3 linked regions of the Lonchura striata genome follow. The protein of the gene in region 2 interacts with the protein of the main gene of each other region in a pairwise test. Links are inferred from orthologs where the notes say so. Each region holds a gene or a part of one and is shown on either strand. Other genes may lie near its edges. The genes, in order: homeobox protein Hox-A3, SEC23B and PRRC1.

Evidence for each region.
Region 1: the proteins of SEC23B (region 2) and homeobox protein Hox-A3 interact in binary tests that used the Homo sapiens proteins (3 or more experiments, as listed by UniProt). The two-hybrid records come from large-scale screens. The link is inferred for Lonchura striata from reciprocal best matches to the Homo sapiens genes SEC23B and HOXA3.
Region 3: the proteins of SEC23B (region 2) and PRRC1 interact in binary tests that used the Homo sapiens proteins (3 or more experiments, as listed by UniProt). The two-hybrid records come from large-scale screens. The link is inferred for Lonchura striata from reciprocal best matches to the Homo sapiens genes SEC23B and PRRC1.

What each region holds. Positions count from the first base shown.
Region 1 is NC_134603.1:123,454,626-123,465,494, forward strand, and holds the start of homeobox protein Hox-A3, read left to right. Parts: upstream 1-5,827; 5' UTR 5,828-5,922; intron 5,923-9,650; 5' UTR 9,651-9,732; intron 9,733-10,869. Other genes in the region: HOXA4 (homeobox protein Hox-A4), read left to right, coding at 1,912-2,503, 3,034-3,362. UniProt on the Homo sapiens protein: Sequence-specific transcription factor which is part of a developmental regulatory system that provides cells with specific positional identities on the anterior-posterior axis.
Region 2 is NC_134605.1:22,409,755-22,420,077, forward strand, and holds the start of SEC23B (protein transport protein Sec23B), read right to left. Parts: upstream 4,301-10,323; 5' UTR 4,230-4,300; intron 2,506-4,229; 5' UTR 2,490-2,505; coding exon 2,269-2,489; intron 2,256-2,268; exon of another isoform or gene 1,900-2,255; intron 1,266-1,899; coding exon 1,208-1,265; intron 624-1,207; coding exon 537-623; intron 358-536; coding exon 121-357; intron 1-120. Other genes in the region: POLR3F (DNA-directed RNA polymerase III subunit RPC6), read right to left, coding at 10,157-10,234. UniProt on the Homo sapiens protein: Component of the coat protein complex II (COPII) which promotes the formation of transport vesicles from the endoplasmic reticulum (ER).
Region 3 is NC_134642.1:83,731,757-83,742,124, forward strand, and holds the start of PRRC1 (protein PRRC1), read left to right. Parts: upstream 1-5,735; 5' UTR 5,736-5,855; intron 5,856-5,937; exon of another isoform or gene 5,938-6,065; intron 6,066-10,368. UniProt on the Homo sapiens protein: May act as a regulator of the protein kinase A (PKA) activity during embryonic development.

The sequences.
Region 1 (10,869 bases), on a different chromosome or scaffold from region 2:
ACTTATCTATTACGCCAGTTAGAGTTCCATAGATGTGCTGTTAGAAATGAGTAAGTAAATGTGTTTTAACTCTCTTTACAAATTAGACATTCGATAGTAGGAGGAAATGAGTGATTGTTTAGATAAGTACCCCAGTATACCCAAGTGCTGGAAATGTTCTAACATATTACAAACCGCATGCAATGTGCGTGCCTATGTGTCTGTGGATAAAATATAAATCGATACGTTGTGTGTCTTGTTAGATAGAATATATATTCAAATAGAATTTTATTGCACGTATCCATTATCTATTAAACTGCAAAAGACAATAATCTGAATTTAAACCAGGGTAACTGTTAGTGTAATATCTTTAGGAAGGCAAGATCTAAACTGTATCATATTTACGCTTGATATATTAGAAGTATTTTCCCATACAGCAGATGATATTTAGCCACTCAGCAATTATATTCTCTAAGGGTGTGGTAAATATTTCTATCTGTTTATATTCCTTCCTGTACAGATGAAAAAAATAATCTGAAAAAGTTCGCTCCTACTCCAAATGTGGCAGACTAGCTGACATTCAATAAGTATTTTTTTCCCCTTAGAATAAGAGCGTAATTAGTTTAACCATCAAATTTCAATTACCTAAGGTCAGGGCGGTTGTCTTGTTTCCCCCTGAGCTGCAAATACCGTTAACAGTCTCAGTTTTAGCAACGCAGAACTGCCCGAGTGCCCTCTCCCTCCTACACCAGGGTTTGCGAGCTACTGCTGCGAAGGCACTAGCGATTTCTTATGAAAGTGAAAATTAAAAAATAAACCCCAGACGAGGCACACCAAACCGACGGACTTAAATTCGTACTTTAGAAAGCTCTGCTCCGCGGGGAGGGATGCTCACAGTGAGCCCGGTAGGAAGCGTTTGGTACCGTCGTGTCCGTCTTCCCCTCTCCCTTTCCCCTCTGTTCCCCGTTATTTTCAGGCTCGCTCTATGCCTCACACCCCACAAGCCCCTCGAGGACTCTCCTCGGCCTGCCCGCGACCTTCGTTCTAACTTTTGCGTCTATTCCTCCAATTAGCCCAGCTTCAAAGGGGCAAAGGGCTGTCCCTGCAGCTCGCGGCCGCCCGCGGTCCGCAGCGGCGGGGCGCTGGGGACAGACCCTGGAGGGCGGCCGGTGGCCTGTGCCCGACAGCCGCTGCCGCCCTCTGCCTGCGCGCAGCCCCGGCATTCGGAGATGGGTTTGTTTAAAGGATTGTGCAACGCCTTGTGCAATGCCTGCCTCCTTCTGGATCACGCAGCTGGGCTGCGCTCCGCTTCCTCGCCCTGCTTCCTACACTCTCCCACGGGAGAACGAAGACACAAAAAGTGCTGGGGCGGGCGGGGTGGGTGGGAGACTGTCAAAGCCGGATTAGTTTTATCTCGCTTGACACCGCGACTGCTGGACGCTGCCCGGGTCGGCGGGCAGGAGGAGCCGGGGATGCTGGTGAGGAGCGGACGCGGGGCGCTCCCTCGCCAGCCAGCCGCCGCCCGTGGGGGAGGCGCCGTCCCCGCGAAGGGTCCGCGGGCGCGGAGCTGCCCTGCGGCCGCTCGTCCCTCTTCCATTTCCTGATCCGGGGTCCGCGGCCCCGCGCGGTAATTGGCGCTGGCGGTCAGGTGGTGGCGGGGCGGCGGGGGGTGCGGGTGTGTGTGTGCGCGGGTGTGTGTTTGTGTGTGTTGTAGGCGCTCCAGGGGTGGGAAGAGAGGAAGGGAGGGGAGTGCAGCGGGGAGAGGGGGGGGGGAAGGGCTGGAGGCCCAAACTTTGGCAGCGGCAGCACTTGACAGCAGCGGGAGGGGGAGAGGGAGGGAAGGGAGGGAAGGGGGGGGAAGGGGAGTGGCCTCGCCGAGCCCAGAAAAACGACAACGCGAGAAAAATTAGTATTTTTGCACTTCACAAATTAATGACCATGAGTTCGTTTTTGATAAACTCCAACTACATCGAGCCCAAATTCCCTCCCTGCGAGGAATACACGCAGCACAGCGGCAGCGCCGGCAGCTCCGCCAGCTACCACCCGCACCACTCGCACCCGCACGCCCCGCCGCCGCCGCCGCCGCCGCCGCCGCCGCACCTGCACGCCGCGCACCCGGGCCCGGCGCTGCCCGAGTACTTCCCGCGGCCGCGCCGGGAACCGGGCTACCAGGCTCCCGCGGCGCCGCCGGGGCCGCCGGGGCCGCCTCCCGAGGCGCTCTACCCCGCGCAGGCACCCTCCTACCCCCAGGCGCCCTACAGCTACAGCAGCGCCGGCAGCGCCGCCCCGGGCCCTGAGCAGCCGCCCCCGGGCGCCTCGCCGCCGCCGCCCGCCAAGGGCCACCCCGGCCCGCCCCAGCCCCTGCTCCCAGGCCATGCCCTGCAGCGCCGCTGCGAAGCAGCCCCCGCCGCCGGGGCCGGCACCGGGCCCGCCTGTCCGCTGCTGCCCGACAAGAGCCTGCCCGGGTTGAAGGGGAAGGAGCCGGTGGTCTACCCCTGGATGAAGAAGATCCATGTGAGCACGGGTGAGTTGCCCTTGCCAGGGGGAGGTGGGGATGTGCCTGCAGAGGAGAGAAGGGGGGAGGGTGCTCCCGGGACCGGGATGGGTCGGTGCGTGTGTGGCTTTTTTTTTTCCCCTCCTTCTCCGTCTGCGTTTCCTAATAGTAAAGGAAAAAAAAAAAAAAAAAAAAAAGGGAAAAAAAAAAAAGAAAAAAGAAAAAAGTGAGAAACCTTTTGTATCCGGGGTCCTTTATCAAAAGATTTACGAGACGCCAAACTGTTAGGGCAGTAATTATAGCCCCCATAAATTTAATTGCCCTGCAGTGGCTCTGGGCCATGTGTCTTTGAAGCTTTTCTTCTAACCCAAATGCCCATCACCATTTTTTATTGCTCCTCGATTGTCCCCACTGTCGATAGGCTGGGAAACAATTTTTCTTGCCGTTTATGTATCTTATGTGAACCCGGTGTCAAGTTATTATATAATGATTATGTTCCATCCCTTCCCCTCTCCTTCTTTCCGCGTGTGTATGTGTGTGCCTGTGCGTGCATGTTTCAGTCAATCCCAATTACAACGGAGGGGAGCCCAAGAGGTCTCGCACTGCCTACACCAGACAGCAGGTCCTGGAGCTGGAGAAGGAGTTTCACTTCAACCGCTACCTGACCAGAAGGAGACGCATCGAGATCGCGCACACCCTCTGCCTCTCCGAGCGCCAGGTCAAAATTTGGTTCCAGAACAGGCGCATGAAGTGGAAGAAAGACCATAAACTGCCTAACACAAAGATGCGTTCCTCAAACCAGTCCACACTGAGCCAGCAGTCCAAAGCACAGACACAGGGCCACCCCCATCCACTCGATGGGGCTACACCCAACGCAGCTGCTCTATAAATACGGTTTTTGGTTTGAGTCTTTTTGGTCTTTTTTTTTTTTTTTTTTTTTTTTTGGTTGGTTGGCTTTTTTTTTGGTCGTTGTTGTTGTTGTGGTTTTTAAAATATATATATATTTACCTATCTATTGGGGTTTTCAAGCTGCCTCGAGGTGGAGGCTGGCCTTTTGGACCAAACTGTGTAAAACAAAACAGGAGCAGAAAAGGAAGACGAGACGTGTCCAAGCACGGGCACATGTTTAAACCAAAACCCGGACGATTGTCTACATTGTATATAGATAATGGTTCCATGCCCATCATTTTTTTCTATTTATGGAAACGCTCTCTTGCCCTCGGTATAAGAGAGGGATGGATGCTGTCATGGACGAATTCTCTGTACCTAAGATGGACTCTTTTTTTTTTTTTTTTTTTTTTTTAGGGAACACGTTAAAAATAAAAAACATTAAAAACAAAGTAAAGAGCTCGTGAGACACTTGTGTAAGGCACTGACTTGAATAGCGCTGTTTTGTGGTGTGTTCATGGATTTCTCTGTGTGTGCTTGTGTGTGTGGTGGTGCACAGGCACGTATACACACACAGACCAACATGGGAGAATGAACACGTCTACAAGAGGTTAAAGACTTATGAAAAAGTCCCCTTACGCTGTCTAATGGAAAATGTTTTATGTATCAAAGGTAACTTAACTGGTTTTAAGTGTAGCCCCCTCAGTAGCTGTGATCTATTAGTTTTTCTCCACATTCCCTATTGCATTTATTTAAAGAAATATTGCTATAAAGGCTGTTGCTGTCTTCATATTTGGCACCGTCTAAGTAGTTTGAGTCCATGTACAATTTGTGGATTTTTGGTGTAATGTATAACAGTGCCAAATGCTAGTAATAAAGATTATTCTGTACAAAAGAATTAAACGCTTGAAACACAAGTCCACTACGTGCTGTTTCATCCACCTTGTGCTTGGCTGGTGTTGGCATCAGAAATGGAAACGAACAGTTTAATGCATTGGTTTGACTTGGATTAATCTTGTCAATAAGGTAATGGTTATTTTAAACGTGGTGAAAAAGCCCTTGACTCCTACTTGCCTGGCAGGGAAAAATTGCATTGCAGGGCGAAGAAAGGTCTTGCTTCATTGTATAGGTGAGTGGTGCTCTCTTTAGCTGACTTAGACAGAATGAGTCTGACTCCACCGCTGTCCGTGTGACTGTTTTCAGCTGCCTGACAAGAGAAACTGTGCTTCTTCTGGGAGCCAATAAGCTCCCATGCCGTGATAACACTTTAAATCTTTAGCCAGTCCTGGTTTATTCATTCATTTTCGCCTGATTATGATTTCTTAGCTGGCTAGCACTGTTTAAGGGGAATACTTGAACGGTAACCTAAAATTTCTTTTCAAGCTGCCTTTTCTGTGTATACTTCCTTTTGTTTTGTTTTGTTTTAAGATTATTTCAAAATGTGCTGAGAAAGCCTTGGTAGACGCATGAATTTGGATACAACTCATGAGGCTTTTTTGACCGAGATTGTCACAACTACTGTGGCAAAATGGGATTCAGCTGGTTCCAGCTCCGGCTGTGCATCTTCCTGCTTCCAGGCAGCTAAGGAGTTCAGGCAAAACAGAACTGCTAATGGAGAGCCCTGCTTGGGGCTTTCACAACACGGTGTAGCACTGAGCTGGGTAGGAAAAATCTTGGAAAGGAACTCAAGTGCTACTAAATCTTCCAGGGAAGATGTGAAGGCCAATAGTTATTTATTTACTCACCCGAATGCATACAAGATGGATTATTGGAATCAGTGCTTGTCTTCACCTAAGTGAGGCTGCCAGGACCAGGGGGCATCATCATCCCTGGCTGAGGTAGCACCAGGCTCCAAAGGTTGTGCCAGCATCCCTGCCTAGCCATGGAATATGTACCATTCCAAAGAAAAATGTAACGTGCCACTGGCAGAACACATTCAGCATCAGGGCGGTGGCAGCTGCAAACACCCACAGCAAACACGGCTGTCCCCATACCTGACTAAAGAGTAGGCCTGAAAAGCACACTTCTGCTCGCATATTACTGTTTACTAAATCCTGAGTCACCAGTTATCTCCTTATAAAGGGAAAAAAATATATAGCTGTATGTCAGGTAACTACTATCCGCAAATGTGTAACTCTTCATTTGGTTTATTGCCTGAGAATCCCTCAATGTATTTAGAGCCAAAATTAGCACAACTGAGCAAAATTCCAGCTGAAATGCATTAACTGGCAGTGCAGGATTTCTTTAGTGTGCAGCCTATGCGTATAAACCTGGTTTACTCCCATTGTAAAAAGAAATGAAATCACGCTGCAAATAGCAATTTTAGCGAGAATCATTAATCACCTCCTACAATAAATACTTCTTTGTAATTCAACAGCGGTTCTGAAAGGCATTCTCTTGGAAAAGTCTGTGAAGACGCAAAGGATTTTCCTGGGGGAAAAAAAAGTGGTCATGTGTAAAGACACAGCATCTTGGCTGTCTCCTAAAAAAATGTACATTCTCTTGCTGGAGATTGAACTGCGGACTGCAAAATACCCCATGGCCGATTATCATCGTTTAAGGTAAATTCTCCTTCCTTCTCTTTCCCTTCTGCTTCTGTTGGGAGTAGAATGCTGCTCCCGGGCTCTGAGCCCTCTGCTGCCTGTCCAATACCTCCCATCTTTAGAATAACCTCCAAAATTACATCGTCCTGTTTAAATTCTCGCATTGTGCTCCCTTTGCTAGGGCAACCAGGAGTTCACCGAGAGGACAAATTTTCTATCCCATTAATTGTTTTTTTTAGAGGGGCAGACTGACCCTTCAAACCCTTGACCTTTAAAGACAGTATTCTTTTTAATCCGGCACTTGGACCTAAATGTCTCCCCCCCCCCCCCCCCCTCCCCCCCACGCTCTCCCGGTGTCTCTCACACACGGATTTATCTGCTTTGGTCACAAAGGCGAGCACAGCTCAAAACGCTGGAAGTGGAAGTGTGTCAATATTTCAAAGAAAGACCAAATCACCTCGGAGTCAATTTGCTGTCAGCAGGGAACGCCACTCTGTTAACCCCGGCACCCATCTCCCCTCCACCCACCAAGAAAAATACTCCTCTGCCGAGATCCCCATCCTCGTTTCTCCTGCAACCTCTTGCTATACCTGGTGTTTCATTACAGGAGGAGCTGAACTGTGACAAGCGCCTTGTGGTATTTAATGACCAGGGCCATCCTGCATCGGGGCATTACGCAATGCTAGGATTTTTTTTATTTTATTTTTTCCTTTTTTTTTTTTTTTTATTTTTTTTTTCCCAGGGTGCTTACAGTCCCAAGTCTTCTTGTCCCGTGTTTGTAAACGAGGAAAGGGTGGGGGGAACCCTCACACAGGCGGAGATCCTGACAGGCCCGCAGTGAAACTCCGGCTCTCCCGGCCCCCCCGCCTCGCGTCGGGGCCGCACTCGGGCAGCCCGGGCTCGCCCGCCGTTCCCGCGCCTCCGCCCGAGCCGGGCGAGCGGCGCGGCCGCGGGACCCGCACGTCACGTCCCCGAGGAGGCGGAGGCTCTGGCCGTGTCCGCAGCCTCGAGGCTTGGCCGGGCCGCGGCGGGGTGGGACCCCGGGGTGTCGCTCCAGGGCTGTCCCCGGCTGCGCGGCGCTGCGCGGGCGCCCAAGCCCGGCCCACGCGGGTCCCGGTGGGGTCGGAGCTCCCCGCGTGGGCAGCGGGAGCTCCGCGGCCGCCTCCCTCCGGCCCCGGGCAGCCCCACTGGCTCCGCCCGGGCCCGCGGACAGGCAGCACTCACCCGTGGCGGACAGCCCGTGCACTGCCGCCCTGATGCTCTCCCGTCCCCCTGCCAGCAGCGCAGAGCCCCCTCCCCGCCGCAGACAATGACGATTTGGGTTCAACTGATTCATTTGGAGTTGGGGGGCCGGAGGGTGTAAAGCTGCCCCGGTTCGCTGTGCAGAACGGGACAAACCCTTGTTAATAATGCCCCAGAGCTCTCCCTGGAAACTGAGGAGGTGTCAAAGGCAGTAGAGATTAGGGGACCCAACTACGAGCATCCCTGCTCTCGCAGATAAAGGTGTTGCGTCTGTTCTGGGCGAGATATTGAAATTTTAATCTTTATGGTCACGTGACTCATTAAATAATTAATGCAGATAGTCAGGAATGGATCTGTGGCCGTCAGTCCTCACTAGGAGTGATTCTCTCAGAAGTGAAACTCAACTCCTTGTTACTGGAGTTTGTTTTTCTTTCCTTCTTTCCTTTTTTTTTTTTTTTTTTTTTTTCCCTTTTAAAAAAGCCCACCTGATTTATCTTGAAAGATTCTAAACTTCTTAAGCAAGCAATAGGGTCTGTGTTGGTAAGTAGGTAGTGTGTATTTCTAGCTTGATGACTTTAATTGTTTGTGCTTGCTTTGTCTGCTGAGCATTTGCTTAACAAGTTTAATATTTAGAAATGTTAAATCTTTGTTTTAGCTGCCTTGTGGTCACATTATGGCTTTTGGTGATTAAGTGTTACGGAGGCAAACACACTTGATAATGTTCTAATTCACACTGTGGAAAGCTGGGTGCCACAGTGCAGGAGGACCTGCTTTGTTCAATTTTCTTGGCGTTAATAAATCACCGTCTCTTAATACATGGCCAAAAAAGCAATGGAAAGGCAGTGAGCATTGCAAAGGAAAAGTCATGGGCGAATTTCTCTATGACTCATTAGTCTGAACGATTTATGTACGAACTTAGAGTGCCGCAATGAATATTAGAGCTTGGGATAACAACAAATTAAAAAAAAAATTCATAGTTTTTGTAAAGTGCTTTATTGCTACTTAGCAACTCTTTCAAGAAACAACGTACTCTTAAAGGACCGTGGCAGTGTAAAATATGGTAGCGTGACCTAATAGCTGCAAAATAAATAACATAAAGTCGCTGGCACCATTTTCAGATACACGCTCCATATTTAACACGAGTGGGACAACCCAGTCACGCTTGATCGATGATTATTGCTGTTTGTAACATGATTATTGATTAGGGATCAAAACGGCTAAGGTACGACTTTGAGCCTAAAATGCCGGGGGGTTCCCCCTGTGCTGAAGCCGAGTGTAAGGAAAGGTAGAGCTAAGGATAACCCCAGGAAGCAGCGCCCGGGCTCTCTGATTGCAGTTCGAACTTTCTATTTTCTTTTGTGTTTGCCAGTAGATTTTAACAGTCAGCGCTTGCAAATTTATGAGACAGCAATAAACAGTTTAGTAGGCTATTATTGCATGCTTTTATGTAGACTGGAGTTCAACACCAAATTTAAAATTATTAGCGTAATTATGGAACTACTAAATTAGCAAAGCAAAGTATCTGCTCCAAAAGTTGTCCCAAGACAGACTTAATATTTCCAGGGCTCGGATAACACCCTTCAGCTAGAATGGTGTTATTTAATTATTAGCATTTACATTTACTGACGATTGTAAGATGCATTAGATGGGTTTTATTAACAAGACTGAATACAGGGGTATATTATTATATCTGACAAATTCATATGTAAAAGTGATTCAATAAGTGGCATGCAAATAACCTGACTGTTGTATTTTTGGACCAGAAATACTGTTTATTTTAGGGGAAAATAAGTAGCCCAGTACTTTCTCCTCCGTCAATGGCTTTCATGGATGTCGGTTTTTTTTTTGTTGCCTTTTTTTTTTTTTTTTTTTTTTTTTTTTTGGGAGGGGGGGTGTGTATGTCTGTGTGTGTGTATGTGTTGTGCTGGTAGATTAAAAAAAAAAAAAATTACGCATTTGGGCCCGATCCCGCTTCGCTGAGGTCAATTGTTAGTCTCTTAGTGAGCTTGTGGTGGCAGGATTGGGCCCCGGCTAACCGTTTGAATAAAAGCCCAACCACAATACGCCCCGCATTTAAACTGGAATCCTTTCCGAGTTTTATTCAGCAGAGATGAACACCACGACTTGTGTTTAATGTCTGTTCTTGATTAAATGATCCTAAACAAAGGTTTCCCAGAGGAAAATAAAGCAGACATTCATGTAACAAGAGTTAGGAATGACAATATTTCCAAACACTTGGAGACAGAAGGCATAGCTGTCTACAGGGAAAAAAAATAAGGAAAAAAACCCAACCAAAACAACCGCACGCTTTTATTTCTCAGCTCCCCGTGCTCTTCACCCGGGTGGGAATCCACGCTCCTCGCGGGAGCCCGAGCCCGCTCCATCCCCGCCCGCCCCTCTCCGGGCTCTCCCAGCGCACCCGGCAAACCATGTATTGCCAATGAAGGAGCAAAATACCTCCCCCTGCACTCCCCGGTAAGGCACTGTTTGTTGCTTGTTTACAGGGAGCCCCGAAACGAAGCCGCTCGGCCGGGGCGGTGGAAGAAGCTGGGAGCGCCTCAGCCCAACCCTGCGCAGCTGGAGGAGGTAAGAGCCGGGCAGCGGTCGCTGCTTTTGCGCCGGTGGCAGCTGTAAGAATGCGATTTGCCTGGTACCTGCATGAAGAACAAGACTGCTGGAATGAAATTTTGTTGTTGTTGCGATAAATATTTAACCTAGCTGGAATTTTTTTTTTCTGGATTGGCCCTATTCATCTTCCGTGGGTGGTGAATGCGCGTGTCTGGGCAGACAAAGAAGTGTACGGGACCTGAGTGATCGCCATCCTTATAAAGGCATTGGGGACAGGAAGGATGCAAAGTCATCTGAAGAGCGAAAGAGTTAGAGAATTTCTTTGTCCGTTCTTAGTTCCTTCCGAAATCAAAGGCACCAGGCGAGGGAGAGAGGGTTGGAGCCAATTCGGTATTTAATGGCTTCTTATCGCGGCTTGTCTGTTCGCCTCCTCCTCGAGGAGTTCCGCAGCCAGTCCTGCAAACGAGAAGTGCATGTGGGGATGTTAGAAAACCTGCTTTTTGCCTGCGAGCATACAACAGAATGGTTAGCGAATAAATTTCTGTTATTTGTCCGTCCTGGCCTGCTTTGCACTGAGTGGAGGTTGGTGGCTGGTGTTTCGGAGTTGCTGAAGTCCTTGATGTGCTTGGTGCTCTGGCAGGAGAAAAGAAATGCTTTCCATAGTGACAATTTTTTTTTTTTTTTTTTTTTTTAATGACGGCCGTCGAGAGGGGACGATTACATAGAATTAGCTCAAATTCCTGCTGAATTTACCTTCTCCTTTTTGGATGTTGATGTACAATTAGTGTATTTTACTACCTATTAAAAGTGGCCATAAATTACAGGACTACAAGGGCTCTTTGTGTTGGCTTAATGAGCTGCTTAAATCTTAACTACAAAAAGGCGCTGCAAATGTCCATTCACGCTTGCGTTCGGAAATTGAAAGCTAAAACACGGTACGAAGGAATCTTCCTCTGGTGGCATGTACCCACAGCATTGCGGGCAGAGATATTTGGGATTCCTTAACGGACCCAACACCAGCAGATTCAGCTGACTCTGAGCAGAACTTCTCTCACAAGGGCACAGTCGATAACGCTGCTCTTTTTATCTGCTTGGGAATGATCAAAGACCAACTTTATCAGGCGCACGGATGTAGGTAAACAGCTCTGCACCCCA
Region 2 (10,323 bases):
TTGAGGGCACTAAGCCCTTCTTTCTCCCAGAGAGCCCTGAGCTTGAGAGCCCAACAGAGCTGAGAGGTACAAGCCCCTGGCCTGAGGGATGGCAGAGCAGCCAGGGATGGCAGAGCACACCTGTATCTGCTTGGCTGTCAGGTCCTTGGTGCCCCGGAACACGTAGCTCTTGGAAATCCCTTCACAGCTCAGCTCGTGAACCTGGACCATCCGGCCAAAAGTGATGAGCCCCACCAGGGCATCAGGAGGCAGCAGGCTCAGGGACATCTGCAGGGACTCCTTCAGGGCCTGCAAATCCTCCTCTTCCAAGCACGTGTCCACAACATACAGGAAGATCAACGGCGTCTGCGGACCTCGCTGATGTGGGAAGAAATTACATTTTCTAAAGCCTCCAGCCAAGGAATAAAATTAGCCCTTCTTAAGCACCTTGCAGACATGGTATTTATTTGCATTATCCTAAGAAAATTTTACACATATATCATTTGTCACAAACAAGACAATTCTGGGAGCTTCAACCTCGTCTGTGGCTCATTTACCTGCACTATGTATTCAATTGTTGAAAACTGAGGCATAAGCTCTGCTGGTTGATTGACTTCAGAAATGCCAGCATAAGCTGGGGGAAACTGAAAAAGAGAACAAAAAATTAGGACAAGGAAGCTGCAGAACAAAAATATAGGGCTCTCTAATGCAGCACAGAGCCTGCCCTGCTGATGATGTAGTTATTCAACTTTTTATTTACTGACACTGCACCAACCTGATTAATTCATTATAAAAAACCCACAGTGCTTTTCCTAAGAACAGCCAACAAGGGGCCAGGATGGACAGCTGCTCAATCCACTGTAAATAAAAGGTAAGGCTACAGCAGCAATAATGTACTAGTTGAAATTCTTTTAGCCGTAGTTTCTGATGGCAAAAGTCTACTCAAACCTAATGAATTCCATATTCTGCAGGAATAGTAAATATCAGATGCAAAAAACACACTGGGACACATAGAACAAAATAGCATTTTAATCTCTTTTCTATGCTCTGCATGCCAGCAAAATCACTGACAAGACGTCAGGTAAACCAGACTGTACTCTGGCCTGGGTTCAGCAAGAGAAGAAGGCCAAGGGAAAGGATCTAGAGAAGCAGAATTTACATTTAATGTCCAGGGAAGGCCATCAATAAAGTGTTCACTGAAAAGGTCAAAGTTCTTTTTCCAACTTACCTGGTTTCTCTGAAAACAGAAGTTACAAGCCCAAAGCTTGGCCCGATAGTCAACTTGGCTGCAAGGGAAAGATGAGGCATTGGTGTGACTTCAGGAACAATTTTACAGGAATGCTTCACAATTAATTCATTAATCCATGCTGGTTCACAGCACTGAGGAAGAAACAGACACTCCAGCTTGAACAGCAAGTGTTTTAGGGATTCAGACTCTGGTTCTATTACCAGGAAGTTCATTAGCTAATCCAGCCCTGCCGTTTGCAGGCTTGTCAGCATGAGGGACCACTGAGCTCTCTGAAGTTCAGCCCTTGGCAGACACAGACTTGGGTCTACTAATTATTTCACTACACTTAGGCTAATCTCATTGTCTTATTGTTTGTGCAGCTGTAGCACACAAGTGTTCCAGTCTCAGAGCAGCAGGAGCCATCCACCCAGATCTTGTGCAAACACAGAACAAACAGGCTGTTCCCTGTCCCACAGAGTTTACTCTCCTCAGCCCAGTACAACATCCTGCTAGTGCAGGATGCCTCGCCACGTTCTCATTCCATGGCTTTGATCTCATTTCAATTCCTCTTATTGGTATTGCCTGCTTTTTCTCAGCCCAACACCATGCTCCCAATATGCATGATCATCTCATAATTTGGGACCGAGATATTCCTCTAAAATTATTTCATTATGCTCATACTGGAAACTGACCTACAAGCAGCAGGGTGCGTAGGAAGCAGGAAAACAAGTAAGCATCAAGTCCAGAGCACAGTATCAGTACAATGGGCATCTTTGTCTACCATGAGTTTGCTCTTTGTCTTCTATGAGGAAAATTCTCTGGGATGCTGAGAGGACCCTCTGCCTTAACAGCCTCTCCAAAGATCCTCCTGTGTCCTCTGCTCTTGCCAACTCTAGTAACAGGCGTGTTGATGTATGGATTTTAACAAGCTCACTGCATCTAAATGAAAGAGGCTGCCAGGCACTGGGCAGAGAAAAAGGGGAATAAGAAAGTAGTGAAGTTCAAATGAAAATTAGATAATGTCCAGCCCCTTCCAACATCCCCAGCTAAGCAATTCCTACCAGAGTGGGTTGAGCACAGCTTTGCAGGTTGGCCTGCTGCAAAGCACAGGTTCATACTGCACAGGAGGCAGGTCCAGACGCTCCTTCAGCGGGGTCAGGAGACAGGCCAGGGGCACAACCATCCTTGTGGCCTCCAGCCTGCTGGAGGGCCACATGTTCCAGCTGAAGCGCACGCCGTCACGCTCCTCGTTCTGCTGGATGAACTCCAGGTACGTCGCCATGGCCCCACTGAAGCTCCTGAAGGACAGAAGAAGGCACAGAAGGTTGGGGCAGCAGCCACTTGTGTGGACAACAGGCCTGCAAAGGAGCTCAGCAGATCAACTACAGGTGGGGGCACAAGACACTGCCAGGACAAAGCTAGCACAGTACAATGAATTAATCCCATTATCAAGGAAACCACGTGACTCCATTAATCTCTTCTGTCCAGTGCTCTCATCAACATTACAGCCAATTAAAACACCACCAAGTCCAACAAAGAAACAAGGAAAGCTGACACTCAAAGTCAGAGCATAAGAGGTTGTTTTTTTTCTTATGATACACATTTAACACGTCAAAATCCAATGAGGTTCATGCTGGCCTCAAGGCAATCCTGCCTGACTGGGTCAGTAAAGGAAAATAGGCCAGATTTGCAACCCATCCTGGAGCCTTCAGCTGAAACACTGCAGGGAGAAAAGGAGGCCAAGTCTGAGACCAAAACAATCACAAATGCCACCAAGCTGCCAGCCTGACCTGCTTACAAAGACAAGAGAGTACATGACAAAATACCAAAAACGATCTTTTGGACACCCACACTGCCTAGCATCATTGTTCCACTGCCAATAAGGAAAGAACTGAGAGTCCAGAAGGCTTCAAAAAAAAAAAAATCAAGGAGGAATATTCCCAACACATTCTCTGTGTTGTCTTACTAAACTCTTCAAAATAAGACACAAACAAGAGTTTCCAGGCCATCACTGCTTTTGATTTTTCTGAGAAAGGCAAGAACAAGCTTATCAAAAAACTTACTTGTCAAATCCAGACCACAAACACCACACAGCACTAGCAGCAACTCACTGAGCCAAAAGCAGCAGCTCCACAACCTACTTCAGACAAGGAAATTCAGAGGCTCACCTACAGCTGCAAATGCTCCAGGATTACCTTACTCCTGATCCTCACTGCAGATGGGATATTCAGGAGGGCTACTCACATGAGAAATCAGAAGCAACACCTCCCCTCAGAGGAGGAGAAGTTTTGGTATAACGTTTTCCTACAGAACTCCAAACTCACTGACGTTTTCCTCTTCCTTGCTATTAAGGATGTAAATCAAGCTTAAGGAGAACTGCCCCATGTTTCCACCCCCCTGAGTGGATGGACAAAAGAAGGGTTCACAACACATCCCCACTACAAATAGATCTGTCAAGGTGAAAATCAGAGCTGAGTCTTCCTGTAAAAGATCCCGCACATCAGAACAGCAATATAAACATTTGATTTATTCCATGTTTCCCCAGCTGTAGCCCAGCATCACTTCCCTGATTGCCATGCTGGGTCTGGCACGGGCTGTGGCCCTACTTTGGGGTCAGGACAGCGGGAGGACAGGTGTAATCGCTCAGCACGGCTGCAGGGGACACCGCAGGTACCACCTCCGCCCCTCCGAGCACCGATCCCCGGCACGGCCACAGGGCAAAGCACTGCTGGCCCTCCACAGGGGCACGCCTGACCCCAGCCCAGGGGGACACTGCGGATCCCCAGCCCGGCCAAAGCGAGCACCTGCTGCTCTGTGGGACACGGCTGACCCCATGAAAGCACCGCGGACCATGCCCAACTCCCCTCAGGGGACACCGCTGACCGCTCCCTCCAGACCCTGCCGCAGGGACACCACTGGCCCCCTCACAGGGGCCGTCACCCACCGCTCCCCTCAGGGGACACAGACCCCTCATTCCCGTTCCCGTTCCCATTCCCTTCCCTCGGAGCCCCGCCGCTCCCACCTGCCCGCGCCGCTCGCGCCGCTCCCTCCCAGCACGCCCCGCGCGCCCGGCAAGGCCAGCTCAGCGGTGCGCGCTGCCCGCGGCCAAGATGGCGGCGGCGGCGGCACGCCCGCCCCACCCCCGCTGAGGCTCCGCCGCCATCTTGGCTAAGGGCACGCTGCGCCGCCCTTCAGGAGGAGGGGAGAGGCAGGCTCCTTCCAAACATAGCCGGGCGGCGGCGGCAGGGAGCTCGGCTCGGCTGAGGGCGGCAGGTTCGCCTTGGAATGGCGACAGGCGGGGTGTCCCTGCTAAATGTGGGATGCGGTGCCGCCTTCCTACCCTGGCACGGCATGAGGGAAGCAGCCCCGCCCTCAAGGGGCTCGGCTGCTTGGGAGCGCGCTCGGGTGTGTTCGTCAGGGAGCATTCCCAGGGTTATGAGTAGCGCTCCACTAAAAACACCGAGACACTTCTTAAAGAAATAAACTGCGAGCCCCACAGAGTCTCAGTTCCCAGCTCCTCTCTCGGGCCGAGGGTTCTGTCCCCGGACACGCTGGGTCAGCGGCACACGCTGGGCAAAGGCATGAGGCCATCTATTCCAGCAGCAAGGCGGGGACAATCCATCGGGTTTTCCTCCCGTTCTGTTCGCTGACAGAGCTTTACCCCCACATCTGCTCGAGGCCACAGTGGTTCACCCTTCTGCCAGGAAATCTGTGCCTCAGCCTACTGGGGAGAGCCCTACAGCGCCCAGACCCTCCGAGAGATCCAGGGATGGACACAATTTTCAGGGAGCCTGTGGATACGAGGTACAAGTTTGGCACACCTGAATTGCCCCAGGAATTTGTCCCTGCCTTGAAATTAGACAAATATGTGTCCTTCTTTCATTGCTTCCATCTTGTATTGCTTCCCAGACTCTTCCAAAGCCAAGAGCTTGTCCTAGTGAGCCCAAGACAAGAATCCTTCCCTGCAGCTTTACGTGATGCTGTGCAAGTGGTATTTGTCCTATCTGAATGCACGGATGCAAATCCATTCCTGAATCCTGCAGACTTTCGAGGTGCAAAGGTATTGCAGGGAAATACCTCAATTCTCTGCTTCTAAGAGTTTTGGTGTTTGCTTTACATTCATGCAGCGGTCAGCTTACAAATATCTCCCAGGCTTCTGTGTGGGCACCGCTCCACCGTTGCTTAGAGGAAATTATGCCCTGTGGTCAAGTCTACTCACCCATGTCCAGCTCTGGGGTTTTTTTGGGGTTTTTTTTGTTTGTTTTTGTTGTTGTTGTTGTTGTTGTTGTTTTTGGGGTTTTTTTGGGGGGGGTTGTTTGTTTTGGTTTTTTGTTTTGTTCTTTTTTCCCTGTTTTATTTCTTTTAAATGCAACAAAAATCTGGAATATGCAGAGTACAGTTCCATGTCCAAAACAAAGCAAAATGAAATGCTGTCTGAGGTGAACATTCATTTTTGCCTTCCCAGCTTCCTGACATCCCAAATAGAGAGGGAATAAAAAAGTAGAAGCATGCTACTGATATGTATATGCTAAAGTGTGTAAAATTCTAATTACTAATATTACTAACATTCTCAGACCCAGGACTGGCTCTCCAAGTAGGAGGCAAAGCAAATCTGCTCTTCTGAAGTTGCCTGTTTGTTTACATCTTCCTCCCACTGCCACATCTCAACAGCAAAGAGCCTTACCAGGACCTAGGGCTTCAAGGCCATAGTGCACCCCTCTGCAAACATTAGATTAACTAAAATATTGAGCAATGATTGTGAGTTTGTGTCCTGCTTTCAACTTTCAGAGTTAATTTTCCTCCCTTGGAGCTGGTTTAGTGTTGCATTTTTTGATTTAGGATTATGAAGATATTGATACACCCTGATAATTTAGTTCTTGCTGAGCAATTCTTATGCTAAGTCAACGACTTCTTAGGTTCTTCCTGCCAGCCAGGAAAGCTGGGGGTGCGCAATTAATTTGGAAGGAGACAAAGACAGGACAAGTGATCCCAAGTGGTTCAAGGGATGTTCCTTGTTCCTTATCATATAGTGAATGATAAAACTGGGAAGAGTTGGCTGCTGGTTTCCAGCCCTCTGCTCTGGCACTCCTTGGGCAACGGTCAGCAGAGGAGGAGCAACTGTATTGTTCATCACTTAATTTATATAATCTCTTACCATTATTTCCCCTTCATTTTCTGCCCTGTTAAACTGTCCTCATCTGAATCTACAAGCTTTACTTTTTTTACAATTGTCTCTCCTATCCCACTGGGGAGGAAGTAAGGGAACACCTGTGTGGTGTTTAATGTCTGCTGGGTTAAACCAAATCAGTTTGGAAGAGGAGCACAATCTTAAAGCCCTGTGTCTGTGGAACAAATACCCAAGTAAAAGCTTTCCCCAAAGCATTTCCTGAAAGAAACACAAGCTTGCTTCAAAAGTGAGAGAAAGGAAAACACCACAGGCTGCCTACACAAGCCCCAGCTTAGTTTGTGTTAAACAGCTGTCAGAGAGGAGAACTTTGAGCTCTGGTTCCTGTCCTCCCCATTCTCCAGAAGATCTCCTGAAGAGTGAGCAAAGTCCCATGACTGACTTTCTCATGGCAGAAGTGAACATTTTCAGCAAGAACTTGGACATCACCTGTGGAGCCTGTCATGCTACCTTCCAGTCTCCTCCAGGAGCTAATCTAGGCTCAGCATGGCTGAGGAGGGCCTAGCCTTGCATTTCTCACAGGTGAAATGACACAAAGTCCCAGCCGAGCAGAGCAAGAGGAGGGAAAGGTGGTCTGTGTGTGGCAGAGGACAGCTCTGTTTGAGGTGTCTGTACCCTGTTTCAAAGCATCAAGTGTTTAGCAGCAATAGGAGACCCAGTTGTCTCCACTCACTACAGTTTTTTCCCAAAATCAAATGCATGTGGAGACAAAAAAGAAACCAGTAAGGCTTAAGACCGAGCTTTTTTCCTGTTGGAGCCCTGGGGGAGCCATCCCAGGAAGAGACAGGATATGGTGCTCTAACAGCACCAGCGGAACAACAATTACCCGGATCGGTTACCATCGAAGTACAAATACAAAACCCCCAGCCAACCGACCAAACCCAGGAAAAACTAAACTGCCACTCAGCCACGGGGAAAATTTTCACTATCGAAGCTTCAAGTTTGCTATTCATCCTCATGTTTTAAACTTTGGAGTGTAAAGGCTATACATGCCAGACAATACCTGCCAGCTTTACACTGTCAGTTCACAATCCAGCCAGCTACCATAGTGAATGTTTGCCTTGGAATTAAAACACAATTTTGCACTCGACTCCATGTGGCATCTGGGTGTGCCCACCCTCCAACTTGCCTTTGGAGAGTTGGCTACTACTAGTGAGGCAACCACTCACAAGAGGCTCGTGGGTTGACAGCAGGATCAGGGCTCATGAAAACAAGAATGAGCTCTCTCCAGCTCAGGAGAATCTCATGGTCCTGCAGCAGCTGAACTCTAACCTCTTGCATGAGGCCTGTGAAAATAAATGAGCAGATCATGCTTCCTATTTGTCATCCATGTTTTAAGGGATAATTCAGCTTTCCACATGTAAATGTTTTCATGTTGAGTACTGGAGCTACTATAGTAGTATCCTCAAAACATTACATTTCATACCAGTTTGGAACAGGGACAGCTTCACCAAGGAGAAGATTGACAAAACTCAGGACACCATTAATGCTACCTTGTAGCATTTATTCCCTTTTCAGATAAGAATGTCAGCCTAATACATCAGCCAGGTTCATGAAGAACCAGAGTGACAGAAAGATCATTTGTCTGATTCATATAGAAATAGATCAGACAGATTGCTATCTGTAAGAAACTAAATTGAAATTACTTTCCCCTTATAGGCACTTTTCTCCAAATCTGAGAAGTCTTGTTACAGCTTCAACACTAAGAAGTTTGAGATACCACAAAGGTCATCTAAGCCAGATAAACACAATGCCAAAATTTAAAGAGCTTAATAAACCATCTATCTACTTCCTAAAGCTGTTCACTGAGGAGAAGCTTTCTCTCCTTTTTCTTATTGCCAATGAATGTGATTATAGAGCATAAAGTGACATACCTGCATGATAAAGCCCTGTTGTTTCCCTGGAAGTTATCTTCTAGCTGTAGTGGAGCACAAACATTGTGTTATCTCTGCAGAAGCAGGCTCAGGACCCCATTGTGTCAGGTCCTCTTTAAAGACAGGAAGACAAAGACAACCCCAGCCCCACATCTCAATGAAATTACCTTGGCTGGAATAAAGGATGTCTGATCCAAGGCGCCTTCCAGGGAAGAGAGCAGCATTTTCCCCTTGGCTTCTCTGTGCTGAGTAGTTAAAGGGGGCAGAGGGAGAATGAAGCTCCAACCATTTCACCCCCACATCTCTTTCCTAAGAGCCCTTCTGCCTCTGTAGAGATATGCATCCCTTTCACCTGGAGACAACACTGCAGCAAAAGGAGAGCCTGCTGAAGGTGCTCACCTCGCTGGGACAATCAGAGTCCTTCCATGGACTTGCCAGCTTATCAGGTGCTCATTGTTTGCTCCAGTACACGCTCAGCTGCTCCCACACAAGCAGCCTTTGCCTCTGCATCCATACCCTCCCTGCATGGACAGGAGCCATGGGAGCTTTTTTTATTCTTCATAAGGCACCCTCATTAGCCTCTGTCCGCCATGCTGTAAGGGAAGTGGAAATCAAGCAAGATTTGAACACTTTCGTATGTGATCCAGACTGCTCTTAGTGCAAACTCCTGGATAGCATTGAAAATGCTGATGTAAAGTATTACCCTTATGAGGTAAACTGTTCCAAAATCTACATTAACCCTCTGTCAGGTTACCCAGGCTGCTGCTAACTCAGCCACAGAGGTACTTTCCCACCACCCTCCCAACACATTGTCCAAAGGGCTTGTTTTCAGCCAGGCACACTTGAAAATAGCCAAATGCAACAAGCCCTGTGTTGTGCTTGACCTCCAGATTGTTCCCCATTGCTGGCAGAGCATTGTAAAGATACTGAGTATTGTGGAGAGATCCACCCTGGCCAGAGCCAGCTGAAGCCACAGGCAGCAAGTGGTACAGGGGCCAGCCTGTCTGTGCACAGCCCCTGTGCACCCCACCCTGCCTCCTAGTGTGCCATTCCAGCCCTCTGTTTCTCTGGATGCTGGAATCTATAGAAATTTTCTCTGTATCATCAGGCCAGAGGAACCCTTTCTCTTGTGGAAAACATATCTTCCCAGAACACCTCTACTCAAAATTTCAGCGGAGCCATCCATGTATGTGACACAGCTGCAAAACACACCACCAGAAATTTGATGATGAAGGAATAAATACAGCAGATGCATCACCAGGCAGAAACACAGGAAATGAAACAGAGATGTACATAAGAAAAATCAGGAATTTAATGATAAATAAGCAGGTAAGAAAGATAATAAACAACCAATAAGTGTTTGACATATTCAGTGTCTGTCTGACATATTCACAATCTTTCCCACATCAGATTCATAGTCTTCAAATAGATGGAAGCTATCATGGGAGAAAAGTGTCAGCTTTAGAACTTAAGCATCCATCAGCAGCATTAATCTGAAAGCAAAATTTGGGATCTCATTCTTGGTACCACTTGTTGCAAGTTTTTCTGATCAGCTGTGAGGGACTGATAAATGTTAAGACTAAAATGTCTCAACCTCGTTTGAGCTTTATTTTGAACTGTCGCTTAGAAATCTGTTTTGTTAACCACCTTAGTTGTCATCTCCAACTTTGGTTGAAGAATGGATCTACATTTCCACTTCAGCCTTGATCTTCAGCACTGACTCCACTTCCAGTCCACTCCCAGGATAGTTCACACAACTGATACATTGCTGTTTTGTCATTCCATTTCCTGAAGTTGCTTACAAATTTAAAAGTCCGCTTTTAAAAAAAAGCAAGCTGCTTTGTCACTTTGGCTGTGAAGGATGAATCCAGTTTACGGTTTTCTTTCACTTTAAAACTCCAACCACTCTGTCATATAAATACAGTTTGATGGAGAAATCTCACCACCTTCATGACAATCATCAAAAACCTGCAAAAGAAAGCCCTGTGTCAGCAGAGTAATTACGTCAAGTTGGATGGTGCTTGCTGTGTGTAACATGCTCCCATGTTTTCTGCTTC
Region 3 (10,368 bases), on a different chromosome or scaffold from region 2:
TTGTTATGTTTCCCCCTTGCCCTTCACTTTGTGACCGTCGGGTTTTCACCTCCGCTGCTCCCCAAAATGGTGGCCGATCCACCTCTGGTAATATGCAAATCGCGAACTGAACGCGAAATCCCAAAAAGAGCCCCAAGGACAACTAGCCATGCCGAATTCGGGGCCACGGACCGGATCGGACAGTCGGCAAGAGGTCCCCGGACATTGCCAGACCAGTGGAATAGCCGCCAACATGCCGCCCTAACTTGAACAGTGCGTCTACAGAATCAGGACCCCGGGCAATGAGCCACAAATCTCCTTCTTGGGCATGCCCGCGAGGACAGAAGCCCCGGTTCTGCTGCGTAGTGGAGCCGATCTCCTCCTCCTCAGCATCACCACGTGGGAGCAGCGGCGGTGTGCGCGACCCCTTGGGCCCCCAACCCAGAGCTGGTCACTCAATCAAGGCCTTAAAAAGGAGCAGGTCTCCTGGCCCATTTATTTCACCTATACCCCTCCTCCTGAGTTTTTGTATAAAACCTTCTGTTTACCCTCCCAAGCTGGTCTTGGGGCTCCATTTTATCCACCTCATAAACCCACTGTGGAACACCCCAAGCCCTGTGTTGCCTCCATCTGTACGCGCACCAAGCCATCAGGTGACTGGGATCGCAGAGCTTGCAGGGGGATGGTCGTGCCCCTGACAGCCTCCCAGCACACCCCGCACGCTGCAACAACTGGTAGCAGGTGATGGTTCCCTTCTTCGTCTTTTAAAATAAATAGGCCAATTTGTGAGAGCGCCCACCTCACTGAAGACAAAGAAGGGAAGAGAACATAGGCAACGAGGAACATACACAAGCTCTGCCACACTCTTAGTAGGAGCAGAGTGGTGATATTAAGGCTCCAGGACTCGCTCTCATCTTCGCTGGTGTGCTCTCCACTCAAGGCTGCTGGGTGCCTCAAGGGGGTGGACTTACCCCAGGATGAGGAAGAGGCAGCTTGGTAGATGGCTCACACTGGGGTGAGTCGAGGCCTTGAGCAGAAGGAGAAACGTCAGAATCCCTGCAGGGCAAACTGAGACTGACAGTGGCCGCACCCAAGGCGCCGGGGACGGGTCTTGAAGCACCAGGAACACCCAGGTCTCTGGAGAAGCCAAGCCAAAGGAAGAAGTCCCCAGTCCATCAGCCTTCCATCAAGTCGGTGCACTCTAGTAAGAACCAGAGCCCAGAGGGTAAGCGGGCCATAGCAGGGTAAATCTCTGGCGGGTGGGACTGGTTTCCAGGAGTGTGTGCCAAAGTCATGGAGACCAGCGGGTGCCCTCCCTGAAGGATCGGGGCATCCCTGGAGAGCACATTTCTCTTACTACAGGTGTGGTTTTTTTGTCCTCCCTTCCCAATTCTGGGCCCCTGCCAAGGTGTTGGGACATCCCATGGGGGCAGAGGGGACAGGAAAAACAAAACTGAGACAAATATTTACCATCAAATGATGACATATTTATAAGCACAGGGAAGATTCTGACATCATAAAGGAGGCCCCTAACATGCATACAAACCATTGAAATTTAGCTGTGTTGGGTCCCTCCCCTGTAAGTTTCCCCATGGCTTCTGTGAAGCCCCCCGCATCCTCTGTCATTCAGACCTCCCAAAACCCTGCCCTATCCTCCCTTGGGAATGGGATTGGCTGAGCCACCCCAAGTGTCCTGCCGGACACCGTTCACGCTTGTAACTGCAGTGTACCCAGCACCCATTGGTTATTGTTCAAACACCCTTCCTCCTGAGTTTTTGTTTAAGACTGTTTGCCCTCCCAAGCTGGTCATGGGGCTCCATTTTCTCCCCATAATAAACCCACTCTGGAACACTCCCAAGCCCTGTGTCATCGTTATCTGTCCCTGTACCTGACGAGCCAATAGCTGGGAATTGCAGAGCTCACAGGGTGACAGTCACTCCCCTGCTGCAGCCGCCAAGCAAGCCCCGCATGGCATGCACTGCAACGAAGTGCCACGTCCAGTCTTTTTTTAAACACATCCAGAGATGGTGATTCTATCACATCTCTTGGAAGACAATTCCATACTTTAGTATTTTTTCAGTGTAATTTTTTTTTCTAATATCCAACTTGTACCTTCCCTGATGTAGCTTGAGACTGTGTCCGCTTGTTCTGTCAGTTGCTGCCCGGTGGAAAAGACCGACTTCCACCTGTTGGGGTGGCAAAGCCTTTTGATGAATCATTCCCCTGACCCCACCCTGGGGCTTGTCCGTCACTCTGAGGCCTCACCCTTCCATCTAGAATTTCCAGCTAAGGCCTTGGGTGATAGGCTGGTCCCTGGGGACCTCTCCCTTCCTCCTCCCTCATTGGATATATCCCGTTTGTCACTCCTGTTACCACTCCCATGTTGTCCCCTTCCCATGTTACCTCCACCTGTTAAAAGCACACAGTGCTCAGGTGCCTTTTGGGGCTTATATCCTTTGGGTTACAGCTGTCTGTATGACTTCCAATAAACTCGGAATTCAGGTACCCCCAGAAGGACGGCTGCTTTGCTTCTGTTGGCATCGCTCCGTGGCTCTCCCCGCGTGGAGTTGTGTTATTATAAGTTTTATTATGTAATGGTTCTTTCTTATTTACCCCCATGTTCTACTTGGTTTATTCCTAGTTTTCCCGCCCTACCCCATATGTCAATCCTCCCCTAAAGCGCCTAGCCACTCCCTTGTCTCCTCCCAGGCGCCCTGTCAGTCACTCGGCATCCCCTCCCGGACACCTAGAAGCTTCTATCCTGGGTGCCGGGTGATTAGACAGGGGTCTGGGGGCCCCTCCTACGTCTGCCCCTCATTGGACCCCATGCACATCACCCCACACAAGAGCCACTCCTTATCTCATCCCCATTGGTCAACCGGTTCCCCTCCCTCTCCAGTTAAAAATGGCTGCAAGCACCCTGTCAGCGCTCTTGGCAGCAGGATCATTCGGATGTTGTTAGCCCCGGTTGGGCTACAATAAATCTCGGATATAACCCTACCAGGAGCCTCTCTTTCTCTCACCGCCGCGGGGTCTAGCAGCGCTTGGACAACCCACGGAGCACTCTCCAAAGCCCCGCAGGGTCCAGCGGAGGGTGCTCCATTTGCCCCTCTCGCCCCATCGGACAGCTAGCCAGGGCAGATCTGGGGAGGGAGCGCGGCATCCCCGTCTGGTGGGTTCATATCCACAGGCCATAGCTCGTGCCTGGAGTGGCCAACGAGAGCGGCCTCAGCTGCCCAGAGCTGGCCAAGGACACTGGGCTAGCAGACGATCAGGAAGGCAGCGCGACAACCACCTGTCTACAACCTCCCGTCAGGAAGTTGTGGAGAGCCATACGGTCACCTCGAAGCCTCCTCCTTCTCCAGGCTAAACAACCCCAGCTCCTTCAAACATCGCTCATGGGGCTTGTTTTCCAAGCCTCTCACCAGCCTTGTTGCCCTCCTCTGGGTGCGCTCAAACATCTCAACATCCTTCCTAAACTGAGGGGCACAGAACTGGACACAAGTACTCAAGGTGCGGACCCACCCGCACCAAGAAAAGCTGCTCCTCAACAAGCATTCCGTTGGAGCGGAGACAAGCTGCGTTAAACCTCACCAGGAGTGTGACTGCAACCCTGCTGGCTAGCCCTGCAGAAAAGCGCTCGAGTTGAAATGAAGGGACTATGAAGAATCGCAGCAACGCAAGACTGCAAAGGATCTGAGTATTCTGTCTGAACAGAGAAAAGCTGCTCCTCACCAAATATTCTGTTGGAGCGGAGACAAGCTGTGTTGAACCTCACCAAGAGTGTGACTGCAACCCTGCCCGTTTGCCCTGCCTGTGTGAGGGGCACAGAGCATAGTTCCCAGGGTTGGGGGAGCAGTGGGTCAGGTGCCTAGAGTGGCTCAGGCGACATTTCCAGGTACCTCAGGTCCCTGCTCCCTCCCAGCCAGATGTACTGAGCCCCATTTTTATAGATTCTCACATACTCTGCTGTTTTCTAAACAAGTTAGAAAGCGCTTGATTATCAAGGCTGAGGACATTTTTTGTCACTGGAGCAACAACGTTTTGGGACAGTCTGAGGTCACAGAAAAGCTTCAGCTTTTGTTCCTCACTTATATTCCCTCTTAATTCTCGTTTCTCTAACCTTAAATTTCACTCTGAAATGCAGACACCACAAAGGGAGAAAATGACCTTCTGAAAAAAAAGAAATCCTGAAATTTGTCCAATTTAAAGGTACTTGGCTTTGCTGAGTTTTGCTTAATATCATACATAGATTCAGTGCGAGTGTTATCTATCAGGTCATATTTTTCAGGCCTTAACGGAGATACACCCCGAATTCCTGAATTACAAATGGAATGGGTGGCTAAGGGAGTGTCAAGCCTGCACGGCCATGTAATTTTTTCCTCTCTTGTAGGCAGGGAAGGACATCAGAGGGGCTACTGATGTCCATGGTGCTGCTGGTGCCCAGGCACCCGAGAAGGGCGATGGCCCCTGGGCTGTGCAAGCCGTGGGGCGGCAGCAGGAGCAGGGCAGTGCCCGTCCCTGTGGTCAGGGAGGCTGGATCACCGTGATTCCCTGGATCAGAGCAGTGCTCGTCCCTGTGATCAGGGAGGCTGGATCACCGGGATTCCCTGGATCAGAGCAGTGCTCGTCCCTGTGATCAGGGAGGCTGGATCACCATGATTCCCTGGATCAGAGCAGTGCCCGTCCCTGTGGTCAGGGAGGCTGGATCACCGTGACTCCCTGGATCAGTGATTCCCTGGATCAGGGCAGTGCCCGTCCCTGTGGTCAGGGAGGCTGGATCACTGGGATTACCTGGATCAGGGCAGTGCCCGTCCCTGTGGTCAGGGAGGCTGGATCACTGGGATTCCCTGGATCCGTGATTCCCTGGATCAAGGGCAGTGCCCGTCCCTGTGGTCAGGGACGCTGGATCACCGTGACTCCCTGGATCAGTGATTCCCTGGATCAGGGCAGTGCCCGTCCCTGTGATCAGGGAGGCTGGATCACCGGGATTCCCTGGATCAGTGATTCCCTGGATCACAGCAGTGCCCGTCCCTGTGGTCAGGGACACTGGATCACTGTGATTCCCTGGATCAGTGATTCCCTGGATCAGGGCAGTGCCCGTCCCTGTGATCAGGGAGGCTGGATCACCGGGATTCCCTGGATCAGGGCAGTGCCCGTCCCTGTGATCAGGGAGGCTGGATCACCGTGATTCCCTGGATCAGTGATTCCCTGGATCAGGGCAGTGCCCGTCCCTGTGATCAGGGAGGCTGGATCACCGTGACTCCCTGGATCAGTGACTCCCTGGATCAGGGTATCTGGCCCTGCTGAGGCCGTTCTGTCACCTCTGGGCCCCCCACACAGGGAGTGGAGGGGCTGGAGCGTGGCCAGAGGAGGGAACGGGGCTGGGGAAGGGAATGGAGCCCCAGGAGAGGCTGAGGGAGCTGGTCACTCCGTAACGTCAGAGTCCTTTCCCAAACTAATTCACTCCGTGAACAGAAATCACTTCAGCCGAGACGTACTTCAAATCTCTACGAATACAGATCTACACAGGCTCTGTCTCAAGTGCGAGCATTAAAGGCCCTACGTAATTCAGACCCGCACACGCCACACCCGCACCCTCACGCCGCCAACGTGGCGCTGCCGAGGCCCCGCCCGCCCCGCCGCTTTTATAGTCGTGCGGAGCGAACCAAGCTGAGGCCGCAGCACGGGGGTGCGACCCCCCCGTAAGGGGCCGTTGGACGCGGCCGTGAGAGACGTGGCAAGGAACGGCGGCGGCGCCGCGGTGGATGCTGGGAGTTGAAGTCCGAGGAGGCGCTTGCCGCGGCCTCCTTTCGCGTATCCCCGGGACGGGAAAGGTCGGGAAGAGACAGCACGGGACGGGCGGGCCGGTCTCGGTGAGGGCGCTTTTGGCGGCGGGAGGACTCGCCGCGTTGTGACCCGTGGTTCCGGGCGGCGGGGAGGAGCGGCCGGAGGGCTGGGCCGGGCCGGGCGGTGCCGGGGCCCGGAGCGGAGGAGCGGGGCTCTGCCGGGGCTGTGACCCGGCGCGTCCTTGCGGGGCTGCAGCGGCTCCTGCAGCCAGCGCCGGCTCCGAGGCTCGCTGTGAGGTGAGGGTCGGGCGGCAGCGCAGTTCCCGGTGCGGTTTGTCCCGGTGGTTCTCTGGGTCAGCGCTGCCGGCCGGGTTTCTCCTGCCTGGGGAGTCCGGGTGCCGGCTTGTTCGGAGCCTCGGGGCACCAATTCCAGCCCTGCAGTGAGGGGTGGCAGTGCTGGTCCTGGTAAAATGCCTGCGGTTTCATCCCCACCTTCGTTAATGCCGGATGGAATGGTGCTTCAGGAGCCTTACTGCTTTATTGTGGTGTCTCTGGAGGCGTAATTTGCAATTTGTGTTATTTACTGGCTTTTATGATCACATTTTTAAAAACTCACATTCTTTTGGGGGAATTACCTGTGAAAGTGCTGGAGCTGTTGCATCCTGTGATATCCATATCCTGGAAGAAGGATGGGTGCGGGCTGTTGGAATGGGCTGGGTCTGGCTGTTCCTTTGGTGCTCTAATTTCATGGCATTGCTGGATGGTGTTAGCACTTCCACATTTCCAGATCAGGAGTTCTCCCACTGCAACCATCACTGGTGTGGGCTGTTTCAAGAGGGTTTTGTGACACTGAAGTATTTGCTAGCAAAGGGAAAGCGGGGGGTGTGCGTCTGAAAATGTTCGAAATTAAATAATTGCCATTCTGATGATTCTGATGAGGTCAGGCAACCTCTGGAAAAAGGAGTTTGGTGGGTTTATGGTGTCTGTCAGCACTAGTGACATGGGAAGGCCAACAGACTTGCTGTCATGCCTGGTGTTTCCACCTCTCCCGGTGTGTGTTAGTTCTCATGCACACTGGTGAAAAGGCTCCTTTGGTGTTGCTTTTTGGGTTTCTTGTAAGGTGAAAAGGTTGTGCAAGTGTTGTGGTTAACATAATTTATGTGATGAATATAGAATCACGGAATTATTTGGGTTGGAAGGGGCCTTAAAGATCATTTTGTTCCACCCCCTGCCATGGGCAGGGACATTTTCCACTATCACAGGTTACTCTAAGCCCTGTCCTACCTTGGACACTTCCAGAGATCCAGGGGCAGCCCCAGCTGCTCTACGCACCTTGTGCCAGGGCCTCACCACCCTCACAGTCAAGGATTTCTTCCTAATATCTGACCTAAATCGATTTTCTTTTAGTTTGAGTGTTTTTCACTATCTGCTGATAGTTCAATTCATCAGATTCTGCATTAAGCTGTACTACAAAACATGTAAGCCAGCACATTGCACAGTTACTTCATTTGTGGATTTTCTAGCTCACGTCACATCTTTGAAGTGCTCATGTTAACTTGGAGGAAGCACGAGTTAAACGCAGCCCCAAAATAAGTGCACAGTACTGTTTACCTGCTGCAATCAGCTTCGTTATGAATTGGGAGGAAAGTTGACTTAGCTTCAGTTTCCTCCTCTAAGGCCTTAATAATGAAAAGTTATCTGCCACCTCAGTTTCAAGACAAGGGATCACCTCACACACACAGATGCATTGTTCGAGGCATGACATCAGTAAAGAGTCTGAAGTCTTGGAAATCGGGTATAGGAGAGTTCTGGGGGGCTGGTTTGTTGGGGTTTTTTTGTGTTGTTTATCCCCTCTCCCGATTACCTCTCTCTTTAAGACTTTGGACTTTGGAGCAAGTCTTTCACCCGAGGTGATTAAACTGATGACCTCTCTGTGCGCTTTCTTTGCACAGAGAAAGGAGCTCTCCTTAATGCTCTCACTTTCTAAAATTGAAAATAAAACCCATGAGGCACTTTTCAGATGAAAGTTTTAAACGTACTCAGGGTCCAGTTATGGTTTGGTTTCATTCTTTTGAAGAGTGTTGTCATTTGCATCTTATTCTGGACAGTTGTTAGCGTGTGCTTACCCATGAGCAGTGTCTGCAGCATGTGAAAGCTTAATTAAAAGTTATGTCCACTGTGATTAAAGTCAAAACGTTTAGTGGCATTTCAATTCAGTGTTGCAGCTTAGTGTGGTTGTGTTTCATTTTAGGCTCCATTTAGAGAGCAGTTTTCTCTCTGAGAGTACTTAAATATATTGTGGTTTCTTTTTGTGGATTTCTGGGGGGCAGTTTTTTCTTTTTTGTTAAGTTTTTTGTTTATTTGCATTTTTTGCCTTTTTTTATTAGCAGGAGCACTGAAAGAGAAGGGATCAGTTCAAGATGACTGAAAATACACCTCATTATAAACTCTGAAGTATCGGTGATTCTAGATAATGTGTTTTTATCCACAAGAAATTTTCTAATCTCCATTTGTAGGTAATCTTATCATTAGCTGTGAATGTCTGTATTTTATAGTAATAACCTGAAGAATGCTTTTGAAGTGTGGTTAAGTTGTTAAGATTATTGCAAAATATTAGTACAAATGTAATTACTTTCTATTGAACTAAAGTGAAAAGACAAATAATTTGCCATTATAGTCTCTAAATCAAATTATTTACTTCCTGCTTTTAGCACAAGCCCTGTTTTAGCCTGGCTTTCCATACAGTATACACAGCCTAATTCCCTAGTTTAAGAATTAGGTTAATGGCTGAGATTTGGTTTTAGGTTAATGGATGAAGTTCAGCTGGTGAGAATCAGTAGAAATAGTTCTAGAGACACATTTTGTGGGTTTTCTGTAATGTGAGGGTTTAGCATCATCCCCATAGTGTCTTCATTGTACCGAAAAGGTTTTTTTTGAAACCAAATGATTGATCAAACAAAATTCATGCTTCTGCTTCCTAAAGGGTTTGTTTTAAGGATGACTGATCACTGGGAATACATTTGTCCTGTATTTCTCGTCACCATATTCCTACTTTTTAATTTCCACATAAAAACAAACCAGGATTTCCTTCTAGGAAGACGTGGCATTATCGAATTTGCAGTTTCGGGTCACAAATCACTAGATGGCAGTGCTAATGCTGTTTTCACCTAAATTCCATGTGCTTCCCTTTCCCTGTCGCTGGGTTTCTCCTTTGCCCCTTCAGTTTAGTAAACCAAAATGTTCTAGTTTGCAAGAAGGCACAAAAGTCACTTCCTTAAGAAATTAGGCTGAGTTTCCAGGTGCTCCCTGTTGCAAATTGTGTGTCTGTGGCTTGGATTATGAAGAGTTATTATGGCTTTTGGGTTTTTTCTCAAGTCACTGAAAAGACATCCGAGTTCTGCACCCAACAGTCATTAAAGAATTGTAGGCTGATCCAACTGGGAAACTTTTTCCCTGCATCTCCCCTGAGGGAAGTTGGGAACCCCTTCTGGAATTTTTGTTGAGGCTGAACACTAATGGGTTTCTTGGGTCCTTTATTCCATAGTTTTCTTCTTCCTCACACACAGCTGGTTTTGGGTATGCCAGTTATGTTCATAAATATCCTGTAGGGTCATTTTAGTAATCTGTGGTGCTGGGTTATTTCAACACTATGAACTATTAAGTTACCCATTGCACTTTCTGCTTTCCTTTTGCCTATTCCTGTGCCTGGTCTTTACCCTTAATTTTCTTCTTTAAATTATTTACTTTTTTTATAATTCAGTACTTGCAAACCACAACTGGACCATGTTGACAAATCAGTGTACAGAAAGTGGTTGGTTGTGCAGGCTCCATATTAGTCAAGACATCATTTAAATCTGTTTCATATGAGATTTTTTATCTTATTTCAGCAACTGACATGATTCTTTTCACATTTGGGATTACTGTTTCTGTTCTGAGTCTTTTTTATTGCAAAGTTAACAGCAAAGAACAGCTACGGTGATACTTATATTTCTACTAATTCCTGACTCCAGATGTCAGGTGGCTTTTTGGGGTGTTGCCCCTTCTCCCTCCCCTCCAGCACCACCACTGTAATAGGTTTTTGAAAATCTGAAAAATCCCTGCACAGAGTTTTTGGAAGGCTGCTCTATGGAATTTTACCACTCATTCTGCATGGCCACAGAATTTATTTTAAGTAGTGAGCACTTCTCAGCAGCTTTTCATCATGGTATTGGGTGAAATCAAGCAGCAGATTGGAAGAGCCTCGAAAAAAATGTTTATAGGTTTTGATCAGAGATTACATTAGTTGCACAATGGAAAATTCTTTCATGTTTTTCAGTGCATAATTGGAAGAATAACTTAAGAAGTACTTCCGTGCAGAGGAATGTAAACTCCTGTAGATGGATTAAAAGATGAAAATCTTAAATTGCAAATTCCTGCCCTTAGTAAAGTTTGATTGAAGAGTTTGCATTTCTTTGTTACAGGGTGATGAGATGTACTTTGCAAGGACAGTGTGTTCCCCACCCGGCAGTTACTGACCCTTTCATCCCATCTGAAGAGAAGCCTTTAAGTGAATTAGAGATGCTCAGAACCCAAAATCCATCTGTCATAAGAATTTCTTGAA